3 linked regions of the Schizosaccharomyces pombe genome follow. The protein of the gene in region 2 purifies or fractionates together with the protein of the main gene of each other region. This does not show direct contact. Each region holds a gene or a part of one and is shown on either strand. Other genes may lie near its edges. The genes, in order: prz1, rad25 and ssp1.

Evidence for each region.
Region 1: the proteins of rad25 (region 2) and prz1 purify together in Schizosaccharomyces pombe (affinity purification with western blotting, with the first as the bait; one study listed by BioGRID). This does not show direct contact.
Region 3: the proteins of rad25 (region 2) and ssp1 purify together in Schizosaccharomyces pombe (affinity purification with western blotting; 2 studies listed by BioGRID, with this or other methods). This does not show direct contact.

Annotation. Positions count from the first base shown.
Region 1 is NC_003424.3:783,716-794,544, reverse strand, and holds prz1 (calcineurin-responsive transcription factor Prz1), read left to right. Parts: upstream 1-4,632; 5' UTR 4,633-5,380; coding exon 5,381-7,426; 3' UTR 7,427-7,767; downstream 7,768-10,829. Other genes in the region: mta1 (S-methyl-5-thioadenosine phosphorylase), read left to right, coding at 785-886, 936-1,496, 1,596-1,856; SPOM_SPAC16C9.01C (carbohydrate kinase), read left to right, coding at 2,377-2,416, 2,454-2,531, 2,694-3,661; smp3 (alpha-1,2-mannosyltransferase), read left to right, coding at 7,982-8,105, 8,146-8,271, 8,316-8,384, 8,483-8,649, 8,690-8,847, 8,913-9,870. UniProt on the Schizosaccharomyces pombe protein: Involved in the regulation of calcium ion homeostasis. Binds to the calcineurin-dependent response element. Transcriptionally regulates pmc1.
Region 2 is NC_003424.3:3,579,154-3,588,653, reverse strand, and holds rad25 (14-3-3 protein Rad25), read left to right. Parts: upstream 1-3,812; 5' UTR 3,813-3,874; coding exon 3,875-3,941; intron 3,942-4,658; coding exon 4,659-5,404; 3' UTR 5,405-5,526; downstream 5,527-9,500. Other genes in the region: vacuolar CorA family magnesium ion transmembrane transporter Mnr2, read right to left, coding at 366-2,219; rrp1 (ATP-dependent DNA helicase), read right to left, coding at 5,738-8,431. UniProt on the Schizosaccharomyces pombe protein: Acts in cell cycle and stress checkpoint signaling by sequestering signal transducers regulated by the checkpoints. Required for the DNA damage checkpoint that ensures that DNA damage is repaired before mitosis is attempted.
Region 3 is NC_003421.2:1,876,727-1,888,096, forward strand, and holds ssp1 (calcium/calmodulin-dependent (CaMKK) protein kinase Ssp1), read left to right. Parts: upstream 1-1,720; 5' UTR 1,721-1,987; coding exon 1,988-3,946; 3' UTR 3,947-4,589; coding exon of another isoform or gene 4,590-5,000; 3' UTR 5,001-5,313; coding exon of another isoform or gene 5,314-5,346; 3' UTR 5,347-5,584; downstream 5,585-11,370. Other genes in the region: aro2 (chorismate synthase), read left to right, coding at 1-760; histone lysine methyltransferase Set7, read right to left, coding at 4,590-5,000, 5,314-5,346; SPOM_SPCC297.05 (diacylglycerol-binding protein), read left to right, coding at 6,042-8,963; SPOM_SPCC297.06C (uncharacterized protein), read right to left, coding at 9,236-9,928; qcr7 (ubiquinol-cytochrome-c reductase complex subunit 6), read right to left, coding at 10,816-11,229. UniProt on the Schizosaccharomyces pombe protein: Involved in actin localization and thus in polarized cell growth.

The sequences.
Region 1 (10,829 bases), 2.8 Mb from region 2:
ATAGTATATATTGCTGAAGCCATGGCCAAAACAATTTTAATTATCAAAACGATTTTATAATATTAGAAGTAATCCCACGTTTGTCATTGTTGTATCATATGGTTGTATCTTAAAAACTTTTGTATTTCATTTAGGAAAACAAATATCGGATGTTTTTGTATATGTTTAACTAAATTAAGTAGTCATTTTATTGAGAATAGTCTAGAAAGTAAGCCAAGGCATTTATTATTCTGCTATAATTGGAAAAAATGTTTTTTATTAAAAAAGCAAGTATCATATACTTCGAAAACTTCTCATTATAGTTAAAATTTTAGACAACAGGTTTGGAAAATAAACATAAATTTAACATTTGTAAAATATGTACTCTAGTTAACACAAGCTCAATGATATACAAAAACAGAAGTTTTGAATATTACTGTTAATCGGTATATTTTCGTATTCAATTAAAGTACCTATATTTATAAACCACTAGAGCACTCCTGAGTATTAGAAAAAATGTAAAAAACATAGCAGTTGGATAAAAAGAAGAAAACAAATTTACTTCATCAAAAAAAGAATCGTTATTTTGTAATGACTAGCTAAATAAATAATAATTTTTTTTACAACAAAAAAAAAAAAAAAAAAAAATAATTAAAATGTATAAATAACAAATAACTTTCTTTTAAATATCTTGAAAATCTTTTATTCCTTGACATTGACAACTCGCAAAAATTTTCATCTGCCCTAAAGGTGTAGTTTTGCTACCCATTTTCAGCACTTTATCCATTCCCTCATTGAAAAAAGTATGAACAAACAAGCTGAGCCAATTCTTCTTGGAGTAATTGGAGGTAGCGGTTTTTATGACCTCCCAGGATTTGATATTGTCGAAAGTGTCAATCCTATTACGGTATGATGAAGATTAACTGGAAGTTGGGATTTGCTAACGTTTTATTCAGCCATGGGGTTATCCAGCTTCTCCAATTTCCATTGCCCGCACAACCTCTGGTTTTTTGATTGCATTTTTGGCTAGACATGGTGTCGGTCACATTTATACACCTACAGAAGTTCCATCTCGAGCAAATATCGCAGCTTTAAAAAGTTTAGGTGTTTTGGCAATTGTTTCGTTCAGCGCTGTTGGATCTTTGAGGGAGGATATTCCACCGGAGGATTTTGTTCTGCCTACACAGATTATTGATCGCACCCTTTGTGCTCGTCCAAACACTTTTTTTGAATCTGGTTGTGTAGCTCATGTTTCGTTTGGTGATCCATTTGATCAAGACTTGTATGAAATTTTAAGTTCATGCGGCTCCAACTTAAAAAATGGTTCTAAATTACATACCAAACGCAAAGGAGATGATCTTACTGTCGTGTGTATGGAGGGTCCTGCATTTAGTACGCGTGCAGAAAGCAATTTATACAGAAGCTGGGGAGCCAGTATTATCAACATGTCAGTCATTCCCGAAGCCAAACTAGCTCGCGAAGCTGAGATTGCCTACCAAATGGTTTGCATGGCTACAGTAAGTTTTTAACATTCAATGTACCTCTCAAATCAAAGCCATGCTTTTTAGACAAGTACTTTGAACTTATTATTAGGAAGGAATTTTAACAAAAAATAGGATTATGATTGCTGGCGCATGAATGAGGAGCCTGTTACTGTTGAAACCGTGATGGAACATATCAGTAACAATAAAGATAATGCAAAAATCTTTTTACTGGAAGCCGTCAAAAAGTTAGAAGCTCCACTTTTGCAAGGATTTTTGGGAAGGAACTTGCGAGAAAGTGTTCAAAATGGGATTCAAACAAATCACAAGCATCGTAACCCAGATGCAATTAGACGACTTCAATTTCTTTTTCCCAATCTTACCATTCCGCACTAAAGAGCAAAGCTTTGGGAAGTAACATTTGAAATTTTATAAAAGAGTAGACTTAGCTATATTGCTTGCTAATTGACTGGTCAGGACTGTTGCATTGCTAACACTTAGATTAGTTAATTTTATATTGGAAAGTGATAATTCCTTTTTGAGAATGATGAGTACTTCCTATATATCGTTAGGAAAATACAATGTTCTAAGTATGACATGTGTGCTTGATATATGGTATGTAGTAGTATGCCCATTCATCTCATACAAAAGTAAGCAAATGCAAAAGTACATTTTTTACGGATACTTAATTTTCAGCATGATTCAACACTTCCTTCATAAATATGAAATATTTTATTTAATTATTCGCCATGTTACCTTTAAATTACTATACAGAGTGCAGGATGTTTATTGATAATTACGTAGATTATCTGCAGATGTTCGCTAACTCTGACTTTTAATGCACCAACATTAAAGCAATATATGTTCTTATAATTAAGAAAAAAACAACTTACAGTAATTTTTTGGGATTAACAAAATGGATTATCCTTCGAAAGATGTGGAATTCGTCACAACTGGTAAAAACTTTCACATATAAGTGCTAACGAATGCAAGGCATGTTTATTATAGATGAAATTGAATTCGACGGCGGAAAGAAGATTAAAGATATTATTGGAGGTGCAGGATCTTTTGGTAAGTGTCTAATTCTTTTTAAAATTTTAAGCGGAGCGATTTGCGAACTTCATTGGTGAAGCATATCTGTTTATCGAAGGTTGAAATCCTCTCCCTTAGAAAAAAGATGCATTGCGTCCAATATTTTTATTATTAAAATAATAATTAACACATTATTTTCAGCATTGATTGGTGCTAGACTCTGGACGTCTGAACCCGAAAGTCAACAACTGGGAATGATTGTTGACAAAGGCTCTGATTTCCCGCAGGTGATCCTCGATGAATTAAACGATTTACATACTGGAATTGTATACAGAGAAACGCCTTGGAGAAAAACTACATATGGTTACAACCGTCTCAGGGACAATGGTTTTCGATTGTTTGAATACCTTACACCTAAAAAGCCAATTCGTGCTCCTGATCTTTTGGAAACAGGATTGATATATGCAAAAACAATTCATATTATTACAAATCCTAAAACATTTGTCTCTGTGTGTGAGGAACTGGCAAAGTATGGAAATCTAAAAAATCGTCCTAAAATCGTATGGGAGCCAACGCCTGAATCCTGTTTACCGGAAAACTGGCATATTTTACAAAAAGCCTTAAAGTATTGTGATATATTTTCTCCAAACGAGGTGGACTCTGCCAACCTTCTGGGTATAGATATTAGCGAAAGCAAATCTCGAGCCAAAGAGTTTGTATCTGCGTTTCAAGAATTCCAAATTGGGCACGATTCTCAAGGATGGGTTGTTCTTCGAAATGGGTCCGATGGTTGTTTAATTGGTGCATGCACGAGTAGTACCAACGCTACAAGCGATGCAGTTGTCCCTGTGCGAGAAATTCTTCATTTGCCAAGTGTACAAATGAAAAACGGAAGCGTTTTAGATACCACTGGGGCTGGTAATGCTTTTTGTGGAGCTGCAATCTTGGAGTATTATAGGACGGGTAATATTATAGAAGCTTGTGCTAAAGCTACTGTAGCCGCTTCGTTTGTCATTCAACAACACGGTTTGCCGGCACACACGAAAAATAGTGAAGGGATTGACTTATGGAACGGAGAATCAGTCTTTCAGAGGTTGAAAGAATACTATGAATTTTTAGCTTCTCATGAAGCTTCCGCCATCAAAGAACTTACGAAACGAGGTGTATAGGTTGCTCTTACAACACAATATAGTCATCTTTTGCTACGAAGTACAAATACTTAATAAGATTATTATACCATTTATTACAATACGCAATTTCGTTGCATTACAATTGGGATTTTCTGCATCTAGGTAATCTAATACAAGAAATGCTCTTGATATTTGCAAATATGATATATATTAGTTGACAGAACATCGGTTGAAGTATCCGATATGAACCGCTTCGTTCACAACATTCAACTAAGCCTCTGCACCAAAGAGCCTGGAACTCGTCAAAGCCGCCGTCCGTCGTATCGTGAGAGAAGATTCTTCAAAAATAATCAATAGTCAGAATTGCATGGTGGTTTGAAGTCTCTTACATATAATTTATAGTACTTTATGTTTTCAACTTAGAATTATTCCACAATTTATAAGTAGTACTACACCTTATTCTGCTTCCCCACTAATGAGTTTCGGATGGTGTTGAAAAGCTAATTTCATGAATTTCAAGCTTTGGGGTTTAATGCTTCTTGACAAGCCTACGGAAGTTCTCCATGTTGTAAGTGGTATTACATTTGGGCACGCCTTCAACTAATAACCGGCACTTTAAAGTATGTGGCTTTGCTTCCTACCCCTTAAACTAGAATATATATTTGATGTCGCTCAATAAATAAAACAAATTTTCATACATTCATGTTATTTAGCTATTTGTGCTTTGTATAAAATACATGTCTCATCACTTTACTATACACAAGTCGCCACCCTTTAGTAAGTCCAGTAAATTTTCAATAGAAAATTGGATGAATATCCTTCAAAAACCAATTTTTTTTCATTTCTGGAACTCCTTAACTGGGATCCTTTGTATATGGAAATTTATTATATTTTGTTTTTAATTTGTTTAGCAAACTGTTCTTTAGCATCCTGCTGCTTCATACTAACTTCAAGTTTAAACTGCGTGTTACTTAAAATTCGTTACCCGATCACGTCTTGTGCAATCCTTTACCACTACATCGCAGAAATATCTTGATGATTTAGCAATTCATCCGTTGTAAATATATAATCTGCTGGCCATTTATTAAACTATCATTTTTTTTTCTGTGAAAATCAAAGCGTTTAGCTGACGCTGTAGTATATTGAGGCTATTCTGTTTTTTTTCATGTCGAGTTAGCGATTTGCGCTTGTATACTTGTCTACCTAATTTTGCAATTTTTCCTAATCGTTAAAGGGTTTTCTCTTGTGCTGTCCTTTAGGTTACTTCCTCATTTCGATCTGTGAAAATCTCATTTGTCGCACTCTCTCCTCTCATTTGTATTGCTTAATGCCCTTTTTGACGTTGCTTAGCTAACAATTATATTGTACTAACCATCAATCTTCTCAGACTTTTATCCTGCGCATTATTCCAAAATACAAAATTTTGTATCAAGAAATTCTGTCGTTATCTGATCAAATCCTGTGAAGCACTGGATTAACTTTGACGACCTCAAGTCTTAATTTTTTCGTTTATTAAACGATACTTTTGGTAATTAATTATTCATTCCACTAATAAATTTCACACCCTTGGTGTTGCTGGTTTATCCAATTTATTACTACAAACCAGCTTTACTCTACTATTCGGTCAAAAAATTCACGTTATAGGCTTTTTGAAAAATAATTTGTCTAACCATTCAATTAAAGAGAGTTGGTGAGTCTTCAGACAATATTTTTGAGAGCGTACCGTTCCAAAAGTTAATTATTTGATGAATTTCATCGATGGAGCGTCAAAGGTCAGAAGAAGCGAATCGTAGATTCAAAGACTTGAATCCTTCTTCTTTATACGATAACCTTTCAAAGCCGGATCTTGGAGGCTCTAGCGAGTTGCATACGTACATGAATGACACTTCGCTTGCTGATATCCCCCTTTTTGAGGATACTCTTGCGTCTGAAGTTTCTTCTTCTTTAATTTCCAATCCTTCTAAAAATAATATTCAGCACCTCCATCCCAACACCTCCGAGCCTTTTAAAACGTCTTCAAAATCCGATGAATATGATTCTTATCCTCGAACCGGGAATGTACCTACTTTTTCATTTACAGAACTGAACGATACTTCAGTCAGTGGCTTCGGTAGTCAAGCGGTATTTGAAAACTCCGTTAGCCCTTTAAGTAATCCATCAAATAGTCCGCAAGCATTTGACTTGACTCAAGGTTCGAGTTCTACTCATAACGCCAACGACTTTACTGTTAACAATGTTGGCTCAAGACGACAATCCATTTATGAGTTTAATATTGGTATTCCGTCTTCAAATATCGATTCTTCTCAGTTCTTACCAGTTTCACGTGCAATTGCGGCTTCTGAAATTTCTCCATCTTCATCGCCTCAGCTATTAACATCCTTCCTTCCCTCAGGATCTGTTTCAAATCCGAGTTCTCCATATTTACAAGGTTCTGTTGGTGCTCTGTATGAAGCCGATGCTTTTAATTTTGTTGATGTAATGTCACAGGCATCTGGAACTGAAGTTGATTCAGAGAGATTTCCTTCTGTTGATTTTGAAGATCCATCTTTATTGATGGAGAATCAACAAAATATTACCGGAACCGGTTCTTTTGCTGACTACCTTCAACCACCTTCTTCCGGGAGCCTGGGGGCCTTTACGAACGCGTCTCCTGGTGAAAGCAACACTGGTATAGATTTTGATACGGATAATACCAATTTGAATCCTTCCGTTGATTTATTGTCTAACCATTCCACACCTTCTTTCATATTTGAGAACAGTCCTTCCGCTGAATTTTCTCACCAGTCATCCCCATATCTTGTTCCAAACTCCGGAAGGACTTTAAACAGCGAAAATGCTAGAGAATCTACTATTCGTTCTGTAAATTCTCCTTTTTCTGAGGACCATGCAGATGCCTCTTTAACAACACACGTTTTTGACCCTATTTCTCCTACCGCTTTAAGCAATTCCGTTTTGAATTATGATTCAAACAACTTTTCGGGTACCCCACAAATTAATGTAGTACCTTCATCTCCTTCCAAATCCCAATCTGGACCTAGTTTGCCAGCAAATCCTCTTCTTCAAACAGACATTAGTATCACTTATAGCCAGTCTGCATCTCCAGTATCTGGTCAACCTGCTATGAATGAAAATTCTTATGACTTACAAAACGCTAATCTTTGTGCTCCTGAAATGTCACCCACATATACGGCTCGTCATCGATCAAATAGTGCTGGCTCACGATTTGATGCTTATGAGCCCATACCTCAATTATATACTCACTTTTCACATTCTTCTGAATGTCTATCTGTTAACCAAGATACCGAACTGCTGGGAAAAATAGAGAATGATAATTCTAAGTCGAACGATTATTTGTCAGTTAGAAATACTCGTCCTCGAAGTCGATCATTGAATTCGCTAGTAGGAAACAAATCGGAAAATTCGTCTTCGTCTAAAGCAAAGTCAGAGTCTAAGTCTCAAGGAAATTACGTTTGTACATTTGCTGGTTGCAATAAGCGTTTTACTAGGGCTTATAATTTGAAAAGTCATATGAATACACATACAAATTACCGTCCCTTTCAATGTTCGATTTGTAAGAAATCATTTGCTAGACAGCATGATAAACGGAGACATGAGCAGTTACACACTGGCATTAAAGCCTTTGCATGTGTCACTTGCAATCAGAGGTTTGCTCGCATGGATGCACTTAACCGACATTATAAAAGTGAAGTTGGACAAAATTGTCTTCGCACGGCCACAGAACGAGGAATTCAAGTTCCGCCATCCAGAAAGACAGCAGTGGCCTCGACAAGCAAACAAAAATGATGTTTTAATTTCCAAAGCAAGACATTTTGCTTGCACCTGTGATTAATGGGTGTCTAACTATATTTCCTTTTGCAATGTGATGCAAGTATTTGCACAGTTTTGCATTTAGGGTTTTGTATTATTTTTTATCTTTGATGTTACGTTTGGCTTCGTTTATAGTTTATTAACTTTTTGCCCTTTTTAAAGAGAGTTGACATTGTTTATACTTAGTGATTGATTTTACCCCATCGTTGATCCAAAATACGGCTTTTAATATTAGATTTGTTTAAAATTAATTATGTTTTGGGTATTGAGTTAGATTAATTTAAAATGTAATAAGACCTGCAATTCTTCTAGTACAATTATTTTACTGAAACATTAGTTTAACGTATACTTTTTGTATGCTTCGTGTATTCTTAAACATATACCCGTCGACCAAGAGTTGTTTACATTTTCGCTTAGCAAACCTTTTTCATAACAAACATATATAGTTCGGAATATCTCGTTATATCTTCATCGTGTAATCCATTGCACACTGAAGCAATAAATCCCGTGCTTTATCCATTGAGATTAAGGATGTTTAAAAACCGTAAATATGCTATAATTTATACTTTTCTCCTAATTTTACGCTTTTGGTTTTCGCAAGGCAGCTCATACATACATCCGGATGAGCATTTACAATCGTTTCAAATATTCGCAAGTATATTACAATTCTTCAACAATTTATGACTAATATAAAGATAAATTATTTGGCTGGAAAGTGGAACTTCCATGGGAATTTACTACTAAAAAACCAATTCGGTCTGTAGTTCCTTTGAATGTGATGCTTTTACCTATTTTCTTGCTTTGCCGGTGTATTTGCAAATGTAAGTGTATTTTAAATTGAACGAAATTCTTACATATCCAAAAGCGAACTGCTCTCCGTATCCTATTTTGTTGTTCACTAGACTCTATATGTGTTTGATCTCTTTGTTAATAGGTATGTACATTGGCGAATATTAAGCTCTGATAAATTTGGAATTTATTTCAGAATTTACTACAAACCTTATTTCCTCCTTCCTTGACTAATTTTGGCAGATTTGAGTATTTGGAACATCGTACCTTTGAACGCAAGATGGAGTGCATTGCTTTTATATTCCTCATCCTTCATGGCTACTACATTTCAAACACATACTTTTACAAACTCAATTGAAACGATTTTCTTTTTTTTAACTATACTATTTCTTTCGAAGTTGAATAGTGTGGTAAGTTAATAGCTGGCAACTCTTAACTAACAAGAATCAGCCATTAAACAAGAAAATTAGTTATTTATATACATTTTTGCTTGCAATTGTTAGTGTATTAGGATTTTTCACAAGAATCACTTTTTTAGCTTTTGTGATCGCCCCCTATATCTATTTTTCTGTTCGATGTTTTAAAAAGAACGTGAACAATCCGAAAGAGTAAGTGATTTTGATTTTTAAATTGAATTAAAAATATATTATGGAATAAACACTAACTGGATTAGCATCTTTTTGCACTTATGTATTTTTGTTTCAGTTTCTTTTGCAACTGTCTTAGCATGCATCCTCGAGGACTACAAGTTTTATGGGGTGTTTGTGATAACATTTTGGAATAATTTAAAATACAATTCTCAAATCGAAAATTTGTCACAGCACGGATTGCACTCAAGATTAACACATTTTTTCACTAATATGCCACTCCTTTGTGGTCCTCTGATTTTTGTTCCAAAGCTTTGGGACGTTCGAAAACCTGCAACTTGGTTATGGCTTCTCCCCGTTTTCATACTATCCCTGTTTCCTCACCAAGAGCCCAGGTTTTTGCTACCCGCAGCCTCTATTTTTATAGTGAACTCTGGATGTCTAGTTCGTTCATATTGGATCAAATTTTTATTTGTAATGTATGCAGTTGTTTTGGCAGTTTTCTTCGGCATAATGCATCAAAATGGTGTTATCCCTGCGGTTTTGGAAGTAAAAAATATTATCGAACAGAGAAATGTAACAACCATGGAAAATTGTAATTTGTATTTTAATCCGGAAATGCCCACGACTATTTATTTTTGGAAGATTTATAGTGCTCCGACTTGGATGCTTGCTCGTCCAAAATTTAGCCAAATTAATACCTCTCATCTTTATAACTACTCCACAAAACAAATGATATCAAAATTTTGGGAGACTTACTATGAAGAGGTTAAAGTCGTCAATTTGCCTGAAGAAAACACAACCGAGTTTCAAGCATCCACTTTATTAGTGTGTCCTGTTGCTATGCTACAAACAAGCAGTTATCTTCAAAATTTGACTATGCTGCATTACATCCCTTATCACGTTGATTTAGATGACACTGATGAGTTACCCCTAGCAGAATTGATTATGAATCATGGAATTGGAATTTTCACCGCTAAGGAGATTTGTGAGAATAACACTATTACTAATGAGTTACCAACGGTATTGAGAAGTGTGGGATAGCAACATAAAAAAATCATTTTGCCTCGTTGTGTACTCTTAAGATTGAGATTCGCTCGTCATGCTACATTTTAATACTGCAGCAATTGCGATTAGAAGTTACCGTTTTCTTGAAATGTTTCGTATCCTTATTGTTAATCCTTCTTTATTGTTTTAAGGGTCAGAAAGTTCAATACTTAACTTTTATTAAGTAAACTGATCTAATTGTTAAATTCATTGGCATTTGTTTAATTTTTTTTCTAATATATTTGGGTTTTAATTTTAATTTATTTATGAAAAGCTGAGAGAATATTTAGTTCACTAAATCTTTCGCGGTTATTTAATCGCGAAGCTTGCATTCGTTCGATGAATGATGATTAATTGTTATATGTTGATTCTATTGATCATATTGTTGTCTATTTTCTTCAGCACAACACTGTTAATCGCCTGTTCCGATCCGATCTATGACAAAACTTAGCTGATTGAGTCTTCAACTTGTCATATTCAATTCTAACCAATTTTGTTAATAATAAAATAGTACTGACTCATCCCGATATGTTCAATGTGCTTATATCATACATAACATAACGTATTAACACAGATTGGGAGCCATTTGAATTCGTTTTACGCAAACAACGACTATATTAGCTTACATACGCCAATATACTAATACTAGTTCAACGATTTATTTGTTGACGGAGAATTATTGCGCACTTAGTTATTTTTTTGTATCACTAACTACTTTAGTAGGTTCACTTTCATAAGTGGTCAACCCCCCCACATAGTACTTGAGGTAGTAGACGAAGTCATAATTGCTATTCAAGTGAGTAATGTCTTAAAGAGAATATGGACCCCCCATTAGTACTTTCTAACCCACTTGGAAATTGAAATTGCTTTGATTTTTAAGCATTATGAATTAATATAATATTAATGCGTATTAGCTTATATAAACGATTACTAAATTATATTCTCATAGTTTTTCA
Region 2 (9,500 bases):
CTTTTCGTTGTATATTTGATTAATAATCATAATTATCTATCTATTAGTCGTTTTTTAATAAATATTTTTGCAAGTAATGGTGAGTTGTTTAAACAAAAAGCATATTCCACAATGAGTAATCTTCTGATAATGGAAAACGGTCTAATACATTAATTTTAAAACTGAGATAAAGTCACGACTCAAGCAATAAAGGACAGAAACGAGAAAATACAGTTAATTTTACTCCATGAGATCGACTTGGTTCCTCGGCTGTTGTGCAGAAATTCGGATTGCCATGTTTGAAAACATGTTAAAAGAAATAAATGAGCTACAAGGTAACCCTGGGGGGAAAACTCTCAGGCAAAAATACAAGCATACAGTAAGAGCTAAATAACTTTGTACCATTTACAAAGAATGAAAGATGAAATCGCAAAAATCATCAGACTACCAAGAATACTAAAGAACCAACCAAGTCCTGGTACGTCTTGTCCTGGAACTTTAACATTCATACCCCATAAACCGGTAACCAAGTTCAACGGAATTAGAATTGTACCCAAGATAGTCAAACGTGATAAGACTTCATTTGTTTCATTCGAAACAAGTGTCATATTAATAGAAATCTGAGCCAAATAATTTGAATGACTTCGAGATAAAATTTTTTCGTAATGGTTCAAATTTTGAACCATAGTGACTATGTGATCCTGCACATCACCAAGATATAAAGCAATTTCACCTCTAGGAGCTACTTGCCATGACTCGTTGCATCGTTTGGAAAGACCTCTAACAACATCTGCCTTATTGGCAAGCAAACGTAGCAAACTCATGATCAGCTTGCGGCATTCACCAACGCGCTGCAACATTCTCTCTTGAGGCTTCACTTCCATTACGTGATCATAATGGATACTCAAAATCATGGAATCAATTGTGTCGACTTCATCTTCAATTTGCTCAATGAATGGAGCGAAAGCATCTGTAGTATCGTCCAGCAATGCATATGCGATCCAATCTGCATTCACTGTCAGATAACCATTCAGTTGACGAATCCTTCGACGAACATTAGCTGGATGCGGTGTCGGGTTCATATGAAAAGTAATTATACCGTCACGAAAGACGACTAGATAAAAATTCAACGGCTTTAGGTACTCAGAGTTTGAGGGTAATTGGTTGAATGAACGGAAGGTAACAAAGTAATACGTTCTAAAAAGCTCGACTTTTTCACGATCCTCTTCGAGAGTAATATCTTCAACGGTTAAAGGATGGATTCCAAAAGCCTTTGCCAGAACTCGAATTTCTTCTTCCTTTGGACAAGAGACATCTAGCCACCAAGTTCCTCCAGAATGGAAAAGGTCCTCAAAGCTTTGGCCATCGTGAACGAGTTCCCACATTTCATGTGAATGGATAGTAGAAGGAAGCTCATCGGTAAAGAATGTAAATCGATATGGTTTTTCAATTTCTGACTTACGAAATTGAGCCCAACGATCACGAACACGATAACGGCCATTTACAAGTAACGGTTCACTCAACTTCCTATTTCTTTCACGACGCTTATCAACATCTTCTACCGAATATTCTTCAAAATTGGCAACCATCTTTTTGGTCCATTCATCAAGGACAGAAAACTTTGGTTCTTGAGCATTGTTTGGAGATATGGGTAAATACAACTCATCCCGAGATAACTTTCGAGTAGCCGGATGATCATCAACAGCACTCTCAGTCACGTCGTTGTTTGCAAACTGTTCATAGTGACTATCATGAGAATTAGCTGATTTAGGGTAGACATGGGGGGATGAAATAGCAAAGTCACTGACCTCAGCAAGTGGACTAGGTTGATCTCTTGTATTCTTCCCATTTTCCGTCTCAAATTCTTTCCTTTGAATGTCCTCTGGATGGCTTTCCGGCAGTGATATATTTTCGATGTCTTCATCGCTTTCATAGTGACGGTGTGGACTTTTCGGGGAAGAACAAACAGAACTAGGCATTGAAGGAGGGTTATTAATATCCTTGTCATCTTCCCCATTACTTGAATGCTCAGACGGTGGTTCTAATAGATCACTATCACTGTTTCCCAATAATCTTGTTCCCTCATCCGCTTCGTCTGGTTGCAAACTAGGGTCCACTGGAAATCGATGTTTAGATTTACTCGAGTGTTTACGATCAGAAAATCTAGGCCTGTTCTGCATCCTAGCATTTTGTTTGTAATAAAAGCCCGTAGGCACTGACCGGGATGTATTGGATGGCATAATTCAAACAGGATTATGGATGCTAAGAATTGACAGGTTGTATAGCAATGAATGTATTATTCTTGGTTTATCAAAATAGTTATAATGCCAAAGAGATCGAATAGCGTTTGGTTTAACAAACTAACGGTTTGTGGATTATTTATATAATTACTCTATTGGTGAGAAAGAGAGGATTTCTGCCCACATTTGATTGAGAGGTTTGAATTTATTAAAAATATTTAAAGAATAATTTCACAAAACTCAAACAACAGAGGAAATGCCAATTTTTAGAGATGTGTTGTTGAGGTGTGGCAGCTAAGACGCTTATCATTGATATGGAAGGCAATTTTTTAAAGACCCCCAAATCATATACCAGACAAAATACAGTATCTTTAAGCATAGTTTTGTTTAATTTCATCAATATTTTTGAAGTGTATTTGTAAGAATCCAATGCAGCATAATTAAATTCATTTCCGGCCTACACATATTGAACCAGGTTCAAATTGGTGCAAATTAATTATTTTCTTGTAAGGATGAATAGAATTGGTTAGTAAATTCTGCTGAAGTTGCACATAAGAGGACGGTTTTGTTTACTAGACAAAATAAGTACCGCGACTTATAAAAAATCTTATCCCAACCAGATTGTCCCTTGTAACAATTTAAAATCCTACTTTTCGTATTACCGCGCAATCAAGTTGCCCACAACGGGACTGCAGCATTGCAGTAGAAACCCCATCAAACGTGTAAGTGAAATGAGCGAACAATAACCCTGAAATTATAAAGTCGTATTATCTTGTTTAAATCAACTCATACCTTTTTCATATAAGAATATCGTATTGTTTCAGGATAACAGAAACAATTTCAGGGAAACTTGAAAGGTTTATGATAAACGCAGTATGCAATTTTAGAACAACGAGAATTAAAAAACTTTACATTTAAGCCAAGAAGTATTAAGTTTAAAATACACAAGTTGAAGGAGCAATTAATCAGCACAATGTAATTTGATCTTTTTTGTTCGTAAAATTACCGTTTGCGGTAATCACCAATCTGTGATGACAACGCCGAAAAGCAGCTTACATAATAACACACACTTTTCAGCTCACTGTACTCCTTTGTAGTCAATGTAATATAATGGAATTTCGCCGCCTCCTACGGATATTCAAGCATATCGCATATGCCATCGAAAACTAAAGAAAAACGCCTTCTTCTTGAAGCTTCCTGCATAGAGTGATAAAAAACCTTCTAAAACTTCTTTGCCCCTAAAGTAAGCCTCTTGTTTCTGTCAAGCTTCCTCAATTATTGCACTCATTGTTTTAACTGTAATCTTTCACGCTTATGTTTGATACTTGGTATCTTGTTTTCGAAAGAAAAACTTATTGTAACATACTTTAAGACAGCAATTCCTCATTCAGTGAGTAAAAACGCGTTTTCTACCGAATTCCTATTGACACTGGGCATTTGTTTGGCATTTGTTTTTGGAAGCCTAATCATACGTGTAAGAAGTATTTTTACGATATTGTAAAAGAATAAGAGAGGTGTAGTGATGTTTCTGTTAGATATCCATAAATCTCAGTATAGTCCGTCATATATTCGGCTGACCAACCAACCTTCCCAACTTTCCTTTCTCACTTCTACCAACCTCAACTAACCACCGCTTTTAATAATTCCTTGCAAATATGAGTAATTCTCGTGAAAACTCGGTGTATCTCGCCAAGTTGGCCGAACAGGCTGAACGCTACGAAGGTATGTGATAAGGATCCGCTGTTGGAAGTAGATATAGCGTAATAGTACGAAATTGTCAATGAAGGGACCTTGATGAAAAGTTATTATATTGCAGTTTGCTACTGTATGTGGGAGTTCTTTGGTTTTTTAATATTGTTGGTCTTGAACAGGTTGCGTTGTTGAATGTTGCAAGGTTGTTTGTTTGATGCGGCTGAGAAAAAGAGGGGTTATGGGTTAGTACGTGGATGACTTGTGTATTTTAAAATGTCCCCAAAATCGCTTGATGAGGTTTAAAATGAGTTCTTACAACATTGTTTTGTTGTTGGACATGTTTATGATATCTGAGGTTATGGACAAGAACGGCTTGCAATTCTCTTGATTTTATGGTTTTCGTAATCATTATTTTTTGTCGCCTTTGTTCTATTTCCTACCTTGCTTCCTTTTTTCTCTTAAAACCACGATTGAACTGCCTTGATTGTCTTATCATTCTTATCTCCTCTTATGATTTGAGGTTTCTTTGTAACCACCAAGACAAAGAAATTCACTAACATCAGGAGTAACACGAAACACCGTTCTGTAGGTAAACCTCAACGCAATTAAGGATATTATTACCTTCATATCTTCACCATGCAATGATAACTCGTTTTGAATTACTGTTTGTTGACCCGTCTATACTTGGCTTTGCTTCTTTCATCTCTCCTTTTTGTTTTTGCTTCTTTGCTAACTGATAATGTATAGAAATGGTCGAAAATATGAAGAAAGTTGCATGCTCAAACGATAAACTTTCTGTTGAAGAACGTAACTTGCTTTCTGTTGCCTATAAAAACATCATTGGTGCTCGCAGAGCATCATGGCGTATTATTTCCTCTATAGAGCAAAAGGAGGAAAGTAGGGGCAACACTCGACAAGCCGCATTGATTAAAGAGTACCGTAAGAAGATTGAAGATGAGTTATCCGATATTTGTCATGACGTCCTTTCCGTCCTTGAAAAGCATTTGATTCCTGCCGCTACAACCGGTGAATCCAAGGTATTTTACTATAAAATGAAGGGTGATTACTATCGTTATTTGGCCGAATTTACTGTTGGCGAAGTTTGCAAAGAGGCCGCCGACAGCTCTTTAGAAGCTTACAAGGCAGCTTCTGACATTGCTGTTGCTGAGTTGCCTCCCACGGACCCTATGCGCTTGGGTTTGGCTCTCAACTTTTCCGTCTTCTATTATGAAATCCTTGACTCTCCAGAAAGTGCATGCCATTTGGCTAAACAAGTATTTGATGAGGCCATTTCAGAGCTCGATAGTCTTTCTGAAGAATCTTACAAAGACTCTACTTTAATCATGCAGCTTCTTCGCGATAACTTGACTTTATGGACTTCTGACGCCGAATACAACCAGTCTGCTAAGGAGGAGGCTCCTGCTGCCGCTGCTGCTTCTGAAAACGAACATCCCGAGCCCAAAGAGTCTACGACTGACACTGTTAAAGCTTGAAACTAAAGCGTTAGCATTTTATCAGTAAACGGATCCTAATGGTCTGATTACTTTTGCATATATGAACTGATACCTATGATTTATCTAATATTCGTAGCCATATAACAAAGTTATCTTCATTATATTCTTCTTGCACTTTATTTCTATCATTTATAAATTTATAACTTTGATTACGTTTCATGAGTAGTTAGTTTGGCTTTGTGGCCTTAAAACCATCAAAGCATACTATTATTATACATTGTACATGCGTTACACTACACCACCCCTTTTTTTAACGTTTAGTTTAGTATGCAGTAGAGTATAGTTCATTTGAGTAACGTTAACATTAAATAATCATGAATTAAGCCCAAATAGATATAGCAACTCTTCTTTGTCAAGTCTCGACAGAGGATTGTTTTCGTTTGAATCCAAAGCTTCTTTAACCAATTGACGCTTCTTACGTTGAACACTGACGATACGCTCTTCAATCGTATCTTTAGTAATAAACCTATACACGGTGACAGGCTTCTGCTGTCCAAGCCGATGAACACGATCTATTGCTTGATCCTCTATGCTCGGATTATAAAATGGTTCCTGTAGAATAACGTGATTTGCAATCGTCAAATTCAAACCCACGCTGCCGGCTTTCAATGAAACCAGCATGACTAAAACATCTTTATCGTTATTAAAAGAATGTAGGGACTTTTGCCTCTGGTTCGCAGACATAGTACCATCATAACGAACATGTCGTATATTTTCTAATTTTAGCATGTGCGATACGAGGCATAAATACTGGGAGAACTGAGAATAGACCAGAATTTTTTCGTTTCTCTTGGAGCCAATTATATCCAAAATTGTTTGTCTTGCTTGATTCAATTTCGAGGAGCTTTTCCATTCGCTCGCCCGCTTGCCAAATTTTTTGGTAAACATCTGGTCAATACGATTTTCCCACCTTAATTTAATGCTTTCTTGTTCTGAAAAAGATTGATTCATATCTAACTCTAATTGCTTTAAAGAGTTTAAAGGACCATGGATTGCTTGAAGGATAGTTGCATCAACTAATGAATCTTGAACTATATTACCTCTGCACATTGGGCACTTTGCTATGATCGTAGAAGTGCTTGATGATCCATACTTCTGGCCGACTAGCATGCTCATACACTCTTGACATGTAAAGTGCCCGCAAGGGATAATAAAAACGGGAGCCAAACAAGGATCCAAACAAACACTACAGTTGAAATCCTGTAGTGTAGCAATTCTTTCTATGGTCAAGGGATCCAAAGACTTGCAAGCATTTCTGACGTTTTCGGAATCTCTAATTCTAAAGCTGTTATCCAAGCTAGAACTCTTAACAAGCCATGGGTGACAACAAAATTGGCGAAGACGGAGTAAAGATACTAATAAGAACCCGTAGCGCGAAAGATCGTGATCATTGTTAAAATAGTTATCAACGAGCGATTGAGCACTAGACATTTGCTCATTGTAGAGCGCGCGTTCTTCAGGAAGAAGGTTCACGGAGACGGTACGGATGGTTTTTGGAGGAAGGTTGACAATAGGCAAATTATTAACCCTCGTCTCTTTAGTTCTACGAAAAACCGTAGAAGCCAAAAGGATGCGAAGACGTTTAAGAGCAGCTTCAACGATATCTGCACGATAACTTTTTAGCGGTCTGGAAATATCCTTAGCAAAAAGGCTCCACACGCAATATGGTTTTATTCTGAGGAACTTTAAGAGGCTGTAAAACTCATCAATATGGTTTTGTATGGGGGTTCCGCTTAGGCACCATCTATATTTGGCATCCAGTTTGACGCAGCATTTAGCGGCAAGAGTGTCGCGGTTACGAATGGTATGTGCCTCATCTAGAACAATGCGATACCAGGAAGTCTCTAGCAATGAACAGGCTGGCGGCGGAGTTGCCGTAGCGGGATTGTTATTATTAAACGCATCGTTTTGCTTCATTTCATAAGCAAGCATTGAATACGTAGTCAAGACAACATCATATTGAGAAAGTTCGTAAGAGTCCAAGTTTTTCTTAGTGGACCCATGATGGATGTAAACGGATAATTTTTTACTGGGGTGCACTTTAGTAGACAATTCTTCAGCCCACTGATGTAAGAGGGCGACAGAAACCACAATCAGGTTTGTCTTACGAAGAGGGTCTTGGGATTTTTGAGTAAGAAGTAAAGCAATTGTTTGAATGGTTTTTCCAAGGCCCATGTCGTCGGCCATAACCCCACCACACTTGGAGCTTTGCTCCATGGATTCCATCCAAGCATGGCCCTCGACTTGATGTGGTAAAAGAGAAACCAATAAACCGGCGGATTGTACTTGCTCATTTTTCAACTGCAGGTCGATCGTGTCGAACGGACTGGGAGTATTATGCTGAAGTAATTGATGCAATTCTTTTGTGACATGTTCTGGTTGCACCTTACGCTCATAAGGGCAAAAAGAGTTGGTACTAATAGTCCCGGTAGGTAGGGATGAAGATGATGGAGGTGGAAGAGGAGTAGGAAGACGACTCAATTGTTTAGCGGTAATGAAGGAGGAAGGAGGAGTCAAATGTTCGGGATTATCAAGATCAATAGGGTGGTCACTCGAGCCTAATACGGAAGGGATGTCGTTAGAGACGGAAGAAGTGGTATGTGGAATAGAAGAAATTGATGGAGTAGACGAAGAAGATGGAATAGAAGGAAGAGATGATGAGTTTGAGGGAGTAGAAGTTAAGCGCGTAGGGGGACGAAAGGGAAAGTTTTTAAAAGACCAAAGACGTTTTTGCCGCCATCGCTTGCGAGTGGAAAGGGAAGAAGAAGTAGGATTTTTGGAAGGAGGATGATCAAAGGGAGGAAGAGAATAGGAAGAGGATTGTGAATTTTGAAGGGACCTAGCAAATTGTTCGTCTAGTTCAACTTGGTTTTGGGAAGAAGATGAGGAGGGGGCAGAAGAGGGGGAAGAAGAATTCCATTCATCTTGAAGACGACGGGCCAATTCCTCGTCATTTTGAAGTTGCTGAAAGGTGGATTGAGGAGGATATGCAGACAATGAATCCATGATGATTAAGAGCTAGGCTATAAAAGAGACATGATTAGAAGGAAGAGACCAGGAAGAATTATTTTAAAATCGAATTGAGGGGGAAAATGGAATATATAGAAAGTGTATGAAAAGTATGCAATGCCACTCGAAAAAAAAGTGGTAGAAAAATTAATTGTAAATTAAAAAAAAAAAAAAAAAAAAAAAAAGGAAACAAAATGAAACACTGAAATAATAATGGAGACCTATTTGGTTTAAGAAAGTGTGATGGATAAATGTAAAACAAGCATTTATGGAAAGCACTATGTACAAATAAAAAAAAAACACTAGTGAGAAGTGGATGAAATGGGAAAACACTTGCTCTTTAAGTATGACCTCGTTAACGTTTGTTGAAAAAAGATAAGGAAAATGAACGAATTAGAACGAGGCAATTGATGAAATGCGCAGATGAGCGGTGAGATGCAATATGGCGGAATCAAACAAGTTGATATGTAGTAAAAGTTTAACGATTCAAAATCTCGAGAATGATAAAGATAATAGGAACTGAGTATGCTAGAGATGAATTAAAGAAGGATAACGAGAGTATTGGAATGTGCGATAAAACAAAAATGAATGGAGGAGTAGGAGGAACTAGGTAAATCAAAAAGGAAAATGATGGTAGGATGTAAAGAAGAAAACCGTTTCAAAAAACGAATCGCAAAACTATTGAAAAGAATATCTAACCAAAAATTAAAATAAAATAAAATAAAATAAAAAGCAAAAAAAATAAATAGAAAAAAATTTTTGTTTTGTTCTGGTCAACCGATGATATGAATTAAGAGACACATTTGATAAGATGGAATGGATGCTGAAACGGGTTTCCAGTAAAAAGGATGGGATGCACCTTCGAGAAGCATACGTGGTCGTCGACGAGAAGGAAAAGAACGAAAAGTGTGAAGAATTTGAAACAAGGCAAAAATTAGATAGAAGAGATGAAAAGAAAAGCAAATTTAGACAAAGGAATTGAGTAGCCGATCTTTAATTGCGAAAGAGCGATTACAGCTGCAAAAGTTGGAAAAGTAGGGCCAAAAGAGACACGTGAAAGTAAAAC
Region 3 (11,370 bases), on a different chromosome or scaffold from region 2:
CTTAGAAGCTTATGGTGTCGAAATCGTTGCCTTTGTTTCCAGTGTAGGCAAAATAGCCATTCCATTGCACGAAACCGCTTCTTCCGCCATATTGGACCCAGAGGATGATACATTTGAATCTCCTATAACCGCTGAATATCTGAAATTCCTCAATAAAATTACGAGAGAGGAAGTCGATAAAACCACTGTTCGTTGTCCTCATGCTGCGACGGCCGCCAAGATGGCTGAACGTATTACTCGAGCTCGTGATAACCACGATTCCATCGGTGGTACTGTAACCTGTGTGATCCGTAATGTTCCCACCGGTCTTGGTGAACCATGTTTTGACAAACTTGAGGCCAAGCTTGCTCATGCCATGATGAGTATTCCTGCCACCAAGTCTTTTGAAATTGGCTCAGGCCGTGAAGGCTGCAAAGTTGCTGGATCCAAGCATAACGATCTTTTTTACCGAAATGCTGATACTGGCAAGCTTGGTACCTTGACCAATAACAGTGGAGGTGTCCAAGGTGGTATTTCCAATGGCGAAAACGTTTACTTCACCATTGGCTTTAAGTCTCCTGCTACCATCGGCGTAGAACAGTCAACTAGCCGTTACGATGGTAGTGACGGTGTTCTTGCTGCCAAGGGTCGTCATGATCCCTGTGTTGTTCCCCGTGCCATTCCCATCGTTGAAGCCATGGCTGCTCTTGTCGTTATGGATGCTGTCATGATTCAACAAAGTCGTATTGCCTCTCGAAACCTACTCCCCAATGCTCAATAAATTAAAAAAAGTTAAAAATAAGCTAGTTTGGGGGCAAGAATCTCACTTCAATTGAGTTAGCCTACTGGATTATCTTATTTTGATGCGCCAAAAAGAGAGGATTAGATATACCTTTTGTCTCTTAGATTACATATGTACATTTTTTTTGGAGGGTAAATTTAACACAAATTAAGGCATATTTAACAGATACTTGTCAATATAGTGTGTAAGATTATAAATGAATATTTTTAAAAAAAGTAAAAAATTTAATACACAAGAAAAACTAAAGAAGTGTTGCAAAGAGTATAAGACCTTCTCTTCAACTAGCAATTGATGTTTGTTTGTATGCAGATTTTTTTCATGTTTATTACACAGACACCTGCGGTACACAATCTAAATTGGTGACCAAATATAGCTTTTGCCATTCTCTTTTAATCTTGCCATTGATTTTTCTCTCATCTAAGTATTCATACTTACACACTGTGTATGCAATTATGATATATTATACCGGCAGTTTGGTCATGTTGCAAAAAATTTTTTTTGCTAATGCCGTTTATCGGCACATCGTCTATGCTTGTAGATGAAGTAAAGGATTATTATTATGTAAAAAAAAAAATCTTTGGATTTATGGGTTTTACTATCAACGTTTCCATACTTGTGAGAAAAAGTGGTAGTTGTTTTAAAGTAATATTTTGAATAATCGAAATTTGTTATAGAATATTTCTGATGTTCCACACATTTTACGTACCAAAAAACCTCTGTAAGAAAATAGTATTCTATTATGAAGCCTTCTTCTCAGGCGTACTTCTCGTTAGTCCCACCTATGATGAAATAGCAACCATCCCGTCTACTATCTGGAAAAGGAGGATTACGTATAGTAGTGTAATACGGAATAGTGAAAGGTACTTCGCAAAAATGATCATTCCAAAAGTGCTCATCGTCATCCCTCACCAGGTGTCGTGCTACGGTATAGATGTACCTAACCTTTTCCAACCACCAGTATAACGTAGGCTTGATTTTAAACAAGATATTAATCAATTTTGGAGATTGAGGACTACTAAAAATCTACAAGTCTTAAAGAAGAAATAAATTTCAGAGTCATTTAGCTTGGTAGCTTTACGACTATAGCCCCGCCGAAATACGAGTTGCCTAGTCCCCGATAGAGGAAAAGCTCGATTAGTAAATCCGGTAATTCATGTACTTATTGACTATTGAAGCTATTTAAGAGGACTCGAGGAACACTTCCTGATGGGATCAGTGAATAATGAAGAAAAAACTTTAATTGAGCCACAACGTCTTTTACGGAAAAATACTTGGCATCCAGAGGTAGACGATAGCGAAGTTCCTCCTTCTGTCTTTCCTGAATATCCCGTCCACAAGGCCATCCAGAAAACGTCCGATTCATTTCGTAAACGGAACTACAGCGCGGGAGATTATGTAATAGCCCCGTTGGGCGGAGAACGTGAAGGAAGTTCGTTAACTCACTCATGGACTTTTCAACCTGGTAAGCATAACCAGCGTCTTTATTCTGATAATTTTCAAGAGGCTCAGCGCCAGTGGAAGCGCCTGCAAGAATGGGGCGAGGTGAAGGAAACAAAAAAGATAAGAAAGCGGTTTGATCGGTTTTCGGGTCGTAAATACATTAACCACTATGAGATTATAAAAGAACTAGGACGTGGTATGCACGGTAAAGTCAAGCTTGGCCGTGATACCGTTACCCGCGAACTGTTGGCGATCAAGATCATCCCGAAGACGGAACGTCGTCCGAAACTGGGCCGAGCCAATGCTTCCAGTCAAAAGGAAAAAGTTCGTCGCGAAATTGCCATCTTAAAGAAATGTGTCCATCCTAATGTCGTCCGCTTGCGCGAGGTCATTGACGATCCATCCTCAACGAAGGTGTATCTTGTTTTAGAGTACATGAGTGGTGGGGAAGTGCCATGGACAGATTGTGACTCCCCCGTACTCTCGATTAGCGAGGCAAGACAATACTTTCGCGATGTTGTCTTGGGTCTAGAGTATTTACATTACCAAGGCATTATTCATCGAGATATTAAACCCGCCAACCTTCTCCTTAACTCTTCTAATTGTGTCAAAATATCTGATTTTGGTGTTTCGTACATTGCCAACGCTGGCCTGAATGAAGACAACGACGTTGAGCTTGCAAAAACTGTCGGCACTCCTGCTTTTTTCGCCCCTGAATTGTGCTGGACCGATTTGGATCGCCCAAGGCCTAAGATTTCTGAAGCAATAGACGTATGGGCTTTAGGCGTTACTTTGTTTTGCCTTTTGTTTGGTCGTTGTCCATTTAATGCTAGCATGGAGTATGAGCTTTTTGACAAAATCGTCAATGAGCGTCTGAACATCCCTTCTACACCCGACATTGGTGAAGAGGGTCGAGATTTGCTTAAAAGATTATTATGCAAAGATCCTGAACAACGTATAACACTTGTAGAAGTAAAACTTCACCCATGGACATTGGATGGCTTGAAGGATCCTGAAAAATGGTTGCAAAACACTGATCCCAGTACCGTCAGTCGTGTTGAGGTTTCTACAGACGAAGTTGCTTCTGCAATCAGCCTTGTGGGTCGTCTTCGCAGAAAACTTGGTAAGCTGTTTCGTTTCCGCCGTCCAAAAGCGCGAGTGTTTGATTCTTCCTCCTCTGTTCCTTCCGACTCTTCCATTTGTCGGCCTGAGAGCTCTGGTAATTCTTCAATTGGTTTATCCGCGTCCGAGTTGTCCGATTCTTTTAATCGGCTTGCGGTGAATGAGTCTCAGAAGGATCGTGAAAGAAAGCAAGTACATCCTGTCGAAATGGGTCGTAATAGTTCTGAGAAAAAGCCTAGATGTGACTTTGGCTGGGACTATGAGGCATTTCCCAATGACAATCAAGATGCTGATGATGCTTGCAGCTATAATACCGGCGACTCTATTCCACAAGTCTCCAAATCCATTAACGGTCATTTCGAAACGTATAGTCGCACGTCGATGGATACGGATGATGTAGCCTCTTTCGAATCTCCAAATGCGAAGCATGAGGAAAGTGGAATGCCTGTCGTTACTTTTCGTAATTATGAGAATTATGATGCTAATCCGTCCAATTTTCATCCAGTGGTTCCTGGTTTTGTATCATCACCTAACCTTCATTTAGCCGGGGGCTCTGACACACCTATCTACTGCATTGAGCATTCCTTCACACCAACTAATTGAGTGCTGTATGAACATTTCCCAATTTTATTCAATTGTTTTTTTTTTGCAATGTAGGTTGCATGTGTCTTTTAATTACTCATTTCTTATTCTTGGCTTTTTACCTAGTGTTCAATAACACTTTGTCATTCGTTTTCATCAAATCATGTCATTCGGACCTTTTAGATTTTTATTTGTCCTATATGTTTGCCCCATCTCAAGAGAAGCCTTTTTTTTTCCTTTTTCTAAATAAGACGCTTAGGTTCCAAGTCTTTTGGAAAAAAGGTGACTTTATTGATGATTCTTGCGCATTCCACTCGTTTTACTCGTTTATTTTAAAATGTTTTATTATCTAATGTGCCTTTTGTTTACCTCGTATATCGTGATTTTTTTTCCTATGAGCAAAAAAAATTTACTGATTAGACGTTGAAACTGGTTTTTTTGATGAATTCTTCTTATTCCTGGCATAGGAAATAAATATCATTTTATTATTTTTTTATGACCTAGTTTGTAATTTCTTCTATGTGCTGTTGTGATACAAATCTATTGAATATAGGTGAAGTGGGGCAACTTTTGTATGGTGTGATTTAGAAGACAGACAGCAATATTGCTACCATTTGAGAAATTTTATCTTCTAAAGCCTACAAATTGGACGTATGAAGAATTTTTATAAACTAATATTTTGTAAGGGAAAATCTTCATTTTCCTCGTTTGGACTTATTCGTGAAGCAGATGATGCTTCGTCTTCGAACCACAGATGATCTCCGTATGAAATACAGAGTTCCTCATTTGTTTTTATCTCTCGTAATGTGTAATATGAGATGTAGTTATTGCGATTGTCTTTTTTCCAATACACGTTTGGATGACGGTCGTGATTGAACATACTTCCAAGTCCTAGAGCTAATCCTTGTTTGCCTTCGCTCCAAACATATGTGTATTCGTTAAGAACTGTATACTGTCCATGTTGTTCATATTCTTCTTTGCTGAACATCAATACAGGACTAATCTCAATGCATGTTTGTGCTGGAATAGGCTCAAGAGCAAATACTCCTCGGCCTTTTCGTTCTGTATCACGAATCTAAAGCGTTAGTAAACTTATAATTAGACACAATCGTTCAGTCTGTCGACTGATTTTACTAAAGAAAAGAAAAGAATGTGAAATGTTTTCTTTTATATAAATGATTATGAATCATGCTGTGAATCGTTGATCCGTAACATTACCCTTTCGATTATACAACAACAACAATCTTCGACATTTGCTTTTTCTACTGTCTGACTCAACTCATAGCAAAATTCACACAAATAAATATAAATGAATCGAAACACAAAAAAGTTAATTTAAAGTGACTTTTAACTTTCTTCTATCTTCTAGCTATCCTACAATACCTTACCTCAAGCGGACTACGAATAACAGGAATCCGCATTACAAAATCAATTTGACAACTGTCTTAATGATCGGTGTGCTTCACTTCTTACACCTTTTGTGAATTACTTAATTTTAGATGTTTCGTGTCTTTATAGATGAGCCAGGGAGTTGATTTCTTTGGGCTCACGTTTGATGTCTTTCTTTTTTCATATATTAAATTAGTAATTTCTAATAGAAATAAACCAAACAAGGAACTTATTTCACATATACGAATGGCAAAAATAGTTAGTAAGTTAATAGGAAAAAATTTATTTTTCCCAAATAAGGCAGCTATAAGACTCCTTAAACCTATTGTGGTGATACTTCGGGTCATGGTACGTTGCTATATTCACTTTAGTAGATAAAAGGTTATAGTGCGCTATGTTTTTCTATCGAACATTTTGCTGCATAAACAGTCGCAAGTTACCGTTTTCCATTTAGTGTATGGAGGATGCTTTTTGAGGTATTGGCGATCTGTAGTTAAATTGGCATTTGAACAGGTTGGAAAGTGCGTAGGAATAGTTATACTGTTAGCGTTGAAGTGCCCAATTCCTTACGAAAAAAGTTTCGCACGATTTATGTGGAATCGATTTGTGGCATATTTAGTAAGTTTATTCTTCAAAAATATAATATAAGCTACAAAACAAGTTATCTTTTCCTTAATTATTGCATATGCGATTGCGATCATTTACGATGCTTTAAGTTGCGAGTGGAATGGAAAGTATCGCAGATCATTTCTTTCTCGCAGGTCTCTCTAACGGATTTGTGAGTGTATCCAATTCTCAATTTCGAGCAGATAGACTTGATGAAGACGCCATATCTGTTTCTAGTTCTATCATCCAAAACAATACAAGGAAGTCGCCATTAAAAAGAGTGTCAATCACTTCTGAGTCTTCTTTTTATAAAGAAAATACCTTTGCGCATCACAACACCACTGGATCCAATTCTGTGGGTCCAAAGAAGCCGTTTTTAGATTATCATCACTCAACATCTAACACACCGACCAAGAAAAAAAAGGATTCATTTGACCATGCCTCCGTTACGTCCTTACATCGTCGTAGCTTATCCTCTAATACTTCAACACCTCGAAAGTATCATTCCAGAAAGCCATACTCCGAGCCTTCTGTCATCGATAAAGAGCATTTACAAAACCGCGTTAGTATCGGTACTACGCATACCCAAAATGATTTGTATCAGTCTTATGTTGCATATCCTGATGCCCTGCCCTTATTCGCTGCTACCCATCCATTCGAGAGACGCTATCCTCCTTCTCTCCTCCATCAATTCCCTTCTTCCAAGGACATAAAAAATGAGACACCGACTATTGACCGTTGTGATTTCCCTAATTATGTTCCGATGTTTGCTTTTCCTAACGACATAACTATAAAAGAATCGGATGTTAGACCTGTATCAACCTACCACTCTTTTGCTTTGACCAGTGACAATAACAGCCACTTGTATGGGATTTGCGTGGTAGTTTGGGTTGCAATGCCTCAATCTATGCAAAATGACTTGGAAAAGGAATGTGAAGTTTGGAGAGCTAATAATACGACTGTGGAAGACCGTGAGGTTGCCGAGAAGCTTTTATCCAGTTTAGAAACGGAGCGATCAAAACTTTCTTCATTATTATTAAAAATGCAAGAAAAGGAACTTGAAGGGAGTGATTCCATCGATCCTATACTCTTGGAAAAGATTGATGTCTGTGAAGAAAACATTATTCTTTATACTGAACTTCTTCGTCCTATGCGCTATAAATTACCTAGATTTGTTCATGGACTGACAAATAACAGGACTTTATGGATACCCAATGCTTATGGATTATTGAGTAAGCATTCACATTTGCAGTCCTTTTGTCGGGATTGGCTTCGAATAGTATGCTCCTCTATTCAAGCTGAAGATCTCGATTTTATCCCTTCGTCAGATTTAAATTCCCTTAAATCACTAAACCTTCAATCGTTTGTAAAAAACATTTGCTGTGATGTTCCTTTGCCGCCGAAAGGACTTCTGCAGTTGCAAGTTAATGTCGGCCCATTAAATCTTTACGCATTTAGGAGTCCAGTCAATGAAATCCCAGGTTGGAATGATGTTGACTTATATCCGTTATTTCGTGCATTAAGTATCCCTAATATTCTTGTTCTTTTTGAGGCTGCTTTAATGGAAGCTAAAGTTATATTTTTGTCTGAAAACTTAGGAATGCTGGGATATGCATCACAAGCTTTACTACATTTGCTTTATCCTCTTACGTGGCAAGGGCTTTATATTCCTGTTTTACCCAGGCGTTTGATATCTTGTTTTGAAGCTCCTTGTTCGTACATTATTGGCACTCTATCGTACTTTTTTCATATGGACGACGTTCCTCTGGACAATATTCCGCTTGTTGTTTGTGACCTTGATAAAAATTCTGTATCTACGTTTGGGAAAATTGTTCGTCTTTCTCGCTCATTGCGATCTAAGTTACAGGCCCATCTGAAGCTTGCGGCGCCACTTCATGATAAATTTTATGTACCACATAGCCCTCCAAAGTACACAATGGAAACTTATCCAAATAATGTCCTTTCGTTGAGTACAGTTACATGTTTTCCTTTGAGAGAAAAGTTTTCTATCCCAGCACTTTTGTCTTTTAGAAGCTCCAATTTTTCCAAAAGGCCTTATGTACTCTCTCCTATCTTAAACGGTTTCCTTAAGCTTCAAGACAATCCTTCGAGTATTTATTTTGCGAAGCAAACTGACTCGCGCCAGTCATCAGCTTCAAAACTTTTATATGCGCGTTTACAGGCGCCTGAGCATGCTCGCAACTTTTCTTCTCCCCCTTTTACGAGACCTGCTTCTCCATCTTCTTCAAAGTTTCGGTTTTCTTCTTCTTCTTTCCAATCGACGATAAGAAGAAATTCCCTCACATCACCTTATTCGGTCCCTGAACTTCGTTCTTCTGAATCTAATCAAAATAAAGCTGGTTCTATTAACACCGGATCTGCTGTGAACCTTGTGAGTTCTAAGCCAGGAGAACAAAAAGTTCACATTATGTACAAAGAGGGGCATAAGCTGAGACGCATCTATAAAATGTTTCCCGCGGATAGCGCTGGCTCCATTTGCGCTGTCTCAGGATATGCATTGGGTGACGTCCATGTTCAATGCGATAATTGTGGGCTACGTGTTAATCTGGATTTCATAAAACATATATCAATGCCATGTGTTCCAGCATGTTTTAATAGTCAGCAGATATTAGTGACATTTTTAAAATTCTTTATAAAAATCTTAGGGTCATATCGGAATTATTTACGCAAACCTCATATGTCTCGTGAAAATTTTGGTATTTCTAAAGGAAGTGGTGGTCTTATAGGATCATTCGACTTCAATAAATTTACTCGGCAAGCTTCCAAAGTTCACGGGAGTTGGATTTCATCACTTTGTAGCTCACAGGCATTTGCAGAATTCATTGGCGATCGATGCGAGCTTGATCTAAATGATCCCCGAGTGGCACTGTTTGATCAGTTACTTCTTTGTGAACGCAATCATGGTAAACCAAGGCTTTTTGGAAAGGCCACCCCTTTTCTACGAGACAAGTCATTGGAAATCCAAAGAATTGAGGTTGCACCTATACCAGCTTCGTTGAAGAATGACAATGCTTTACACTAGGTTAGGTTATAGACGCACTATTTACGAATTATTAATGCTCAATAGACTTCTTTTTGGTTATAGTTAAAATATTTAATCGAACAACTCTAAAACGCTTTTCATTTTTTATACTTTGATTAAATTTGTGAATTTTTAATATAAAGTCATATACATCTTAAGTTGAGAGAAATTAAATACTCATTATGTTTGACTCATAGTTAAAAAGCTCTAATCATAATGAATAGTTGCACACTTCTTTGGTTTTATAAATGTCGGCGTAATTGCTAAAATGATCAACTAGAAAAACCTTGCAACCTAGCCTTGGCTAACTCTCGTAGCTTTTCAATTGTTTCTAACTCTTTTTTATTTCTTTCCTCAATTTTATTTCGAAGCTCTTGGTCGCGCTCAAGTCTTTCCATTTCTCGTTTTGAAGCCCTGAATTCTGACCGTTGTTTTTTTTGCTTCAATCGGGACTGAAATGAGTCCCGGTCTCCGTATAAGTCGGTTTCTTTCAAGTCTTCTTCATTGTCAGATGCTTCGCGATAATGCTTCAAAGCAGCTCGTTTTTCCTTCTTTTTCTGTTGCATAGCTTCTTTGCTTCCTGCTGGTTCTTTTGGAAGAATTTCATCCAACAATTCTGTCTCCCTTTTAGCTTGCGATTTAAAAGCTGATTTTCGGGATAGCTTTCTCAACTCGTTTAATTGCTCCTGCAATTCTCGTCGATCTTGTAAATTTTCCAAAGTTGGTCGACTTGGACCTACAAGACGAGCATAAGAGGGTTGAGATATTCTCTTTCCCAACGAATACCATTTACTTTTCATTTTTCCATCATTCCATCTTTTTACAAAGCGTCGCCAGAGGTCGTGTACAGAATCTTGATCACAAGTACCCAAATCGATCTGCTTCTCTTCCTTAACATATTCTTTAAATATTTCATTGAACATTTCTTTCTGAGTAATGTCTTTATAATTGATTTTCCCCTGCATATTCAATAAATATTTCGAACAAAATTGTACATGATTTTCTTGTAATTTTTCAAGTTCCTCAAACAAGTTAAACAAACGCGGAAATAAATAAAATTAAATTCAATAATACTTTACGTCGATCGGAGGTTCATATATTATGACTCTGGGTACAACATTTCAGATAGTGAAAAGCTCATGAGCTTGAAGTCGTACAAGGAAGAGTATGCCTAAAGTCAAATAGGAGTAAGCTTAATTAAATCAATAAATACAATGCCAAACTGTCATAAAATTTCTCAAAATAAGTTTGTCTGTTTAACAAGTTTAAAATTTGATATCACGATTTAAAAAAAATACTACATTAGTTGGTTTGCCTTACAATGTTTTGTTCACTAACTTATGTTATACCAACCATTAGCTATAATTGATTCAGCGAGAGAATAATTGCAAAATCATCTTCAGAAAGCGAAACTAAGAAACAAAAAAATTGTTTCTCTTTCAAAGATAACAGTCAAGGAAAAAGCAGCTACAAAAAATAAAAAATAAGAAAAAATCGTTGTTCAATTAAAATATGAAAACTGAAAGCATAGAGAGGAGAGGTCAAAGAGATGGGAGATATACCAGTAGTTAAAATAGAGCAAAGCAAAAACAGAGCGGCGTAGAAAATTAATCGCACACATAGTAAAGTCAAAGTACAGATAAACAGCAATATAAAAACTTTCGTTTCCACGTACTTTGTCGACTGATATAACCGATGAAATAAGATACGTGCATAAATTGTCTTCCTTTTTAGAAATTGGAGTTGGGGGTTACTTAGAAAATAAAATTCTCACATCCGTTTACTACTCTTTTAATTTTCTTGTCGGTTTTCATGAGAGGAATAAGTGGATTAAAGGAGGACATGCAAACTTTTAATGAGCATGAGCAGGAGAAGATGTTGCATGGGCTTGAGTCTCGGGTTTCTTAACAATGAGAGCGTCGAAGGCCTCACGCTCTTTCCTCTCCGCGATAACCTCAGCTAAAACAGGTCTGAGGTAATGGTAATCCTCCTCAGGCTTTGTCCATTCAGATTTTGGCAAAATTTTATTCTCAATGCTAAGTTGCATGGCACGGCGAATACGATAGACTCGATCGTAGGATTCCATCTTAGGCAAACGAGATAACGCCTTTTGAGTATCGTCATTCTCCTCCAACATCAAATCGTCGTATCGAAGACCATATTTACGGTATCCTGACAAATGCACATAGGCATTGGAGATGGGTAAAAGCAATTTCGTCAAAAATGGTGATTTTTGAATATACTTGGCAAGAGACACAGGTTTCATACTTAAACAATCACTTCAGCAAAAAAAAATTTCGTCACTACAAAATTTGCACTGAAATCAATAAAACTCTTAGTTTTGAATATTGGAAGAAGGTAAGATCTCATGGCCCTATAGTATGCCAATGAATCCTTCGGTCACCTG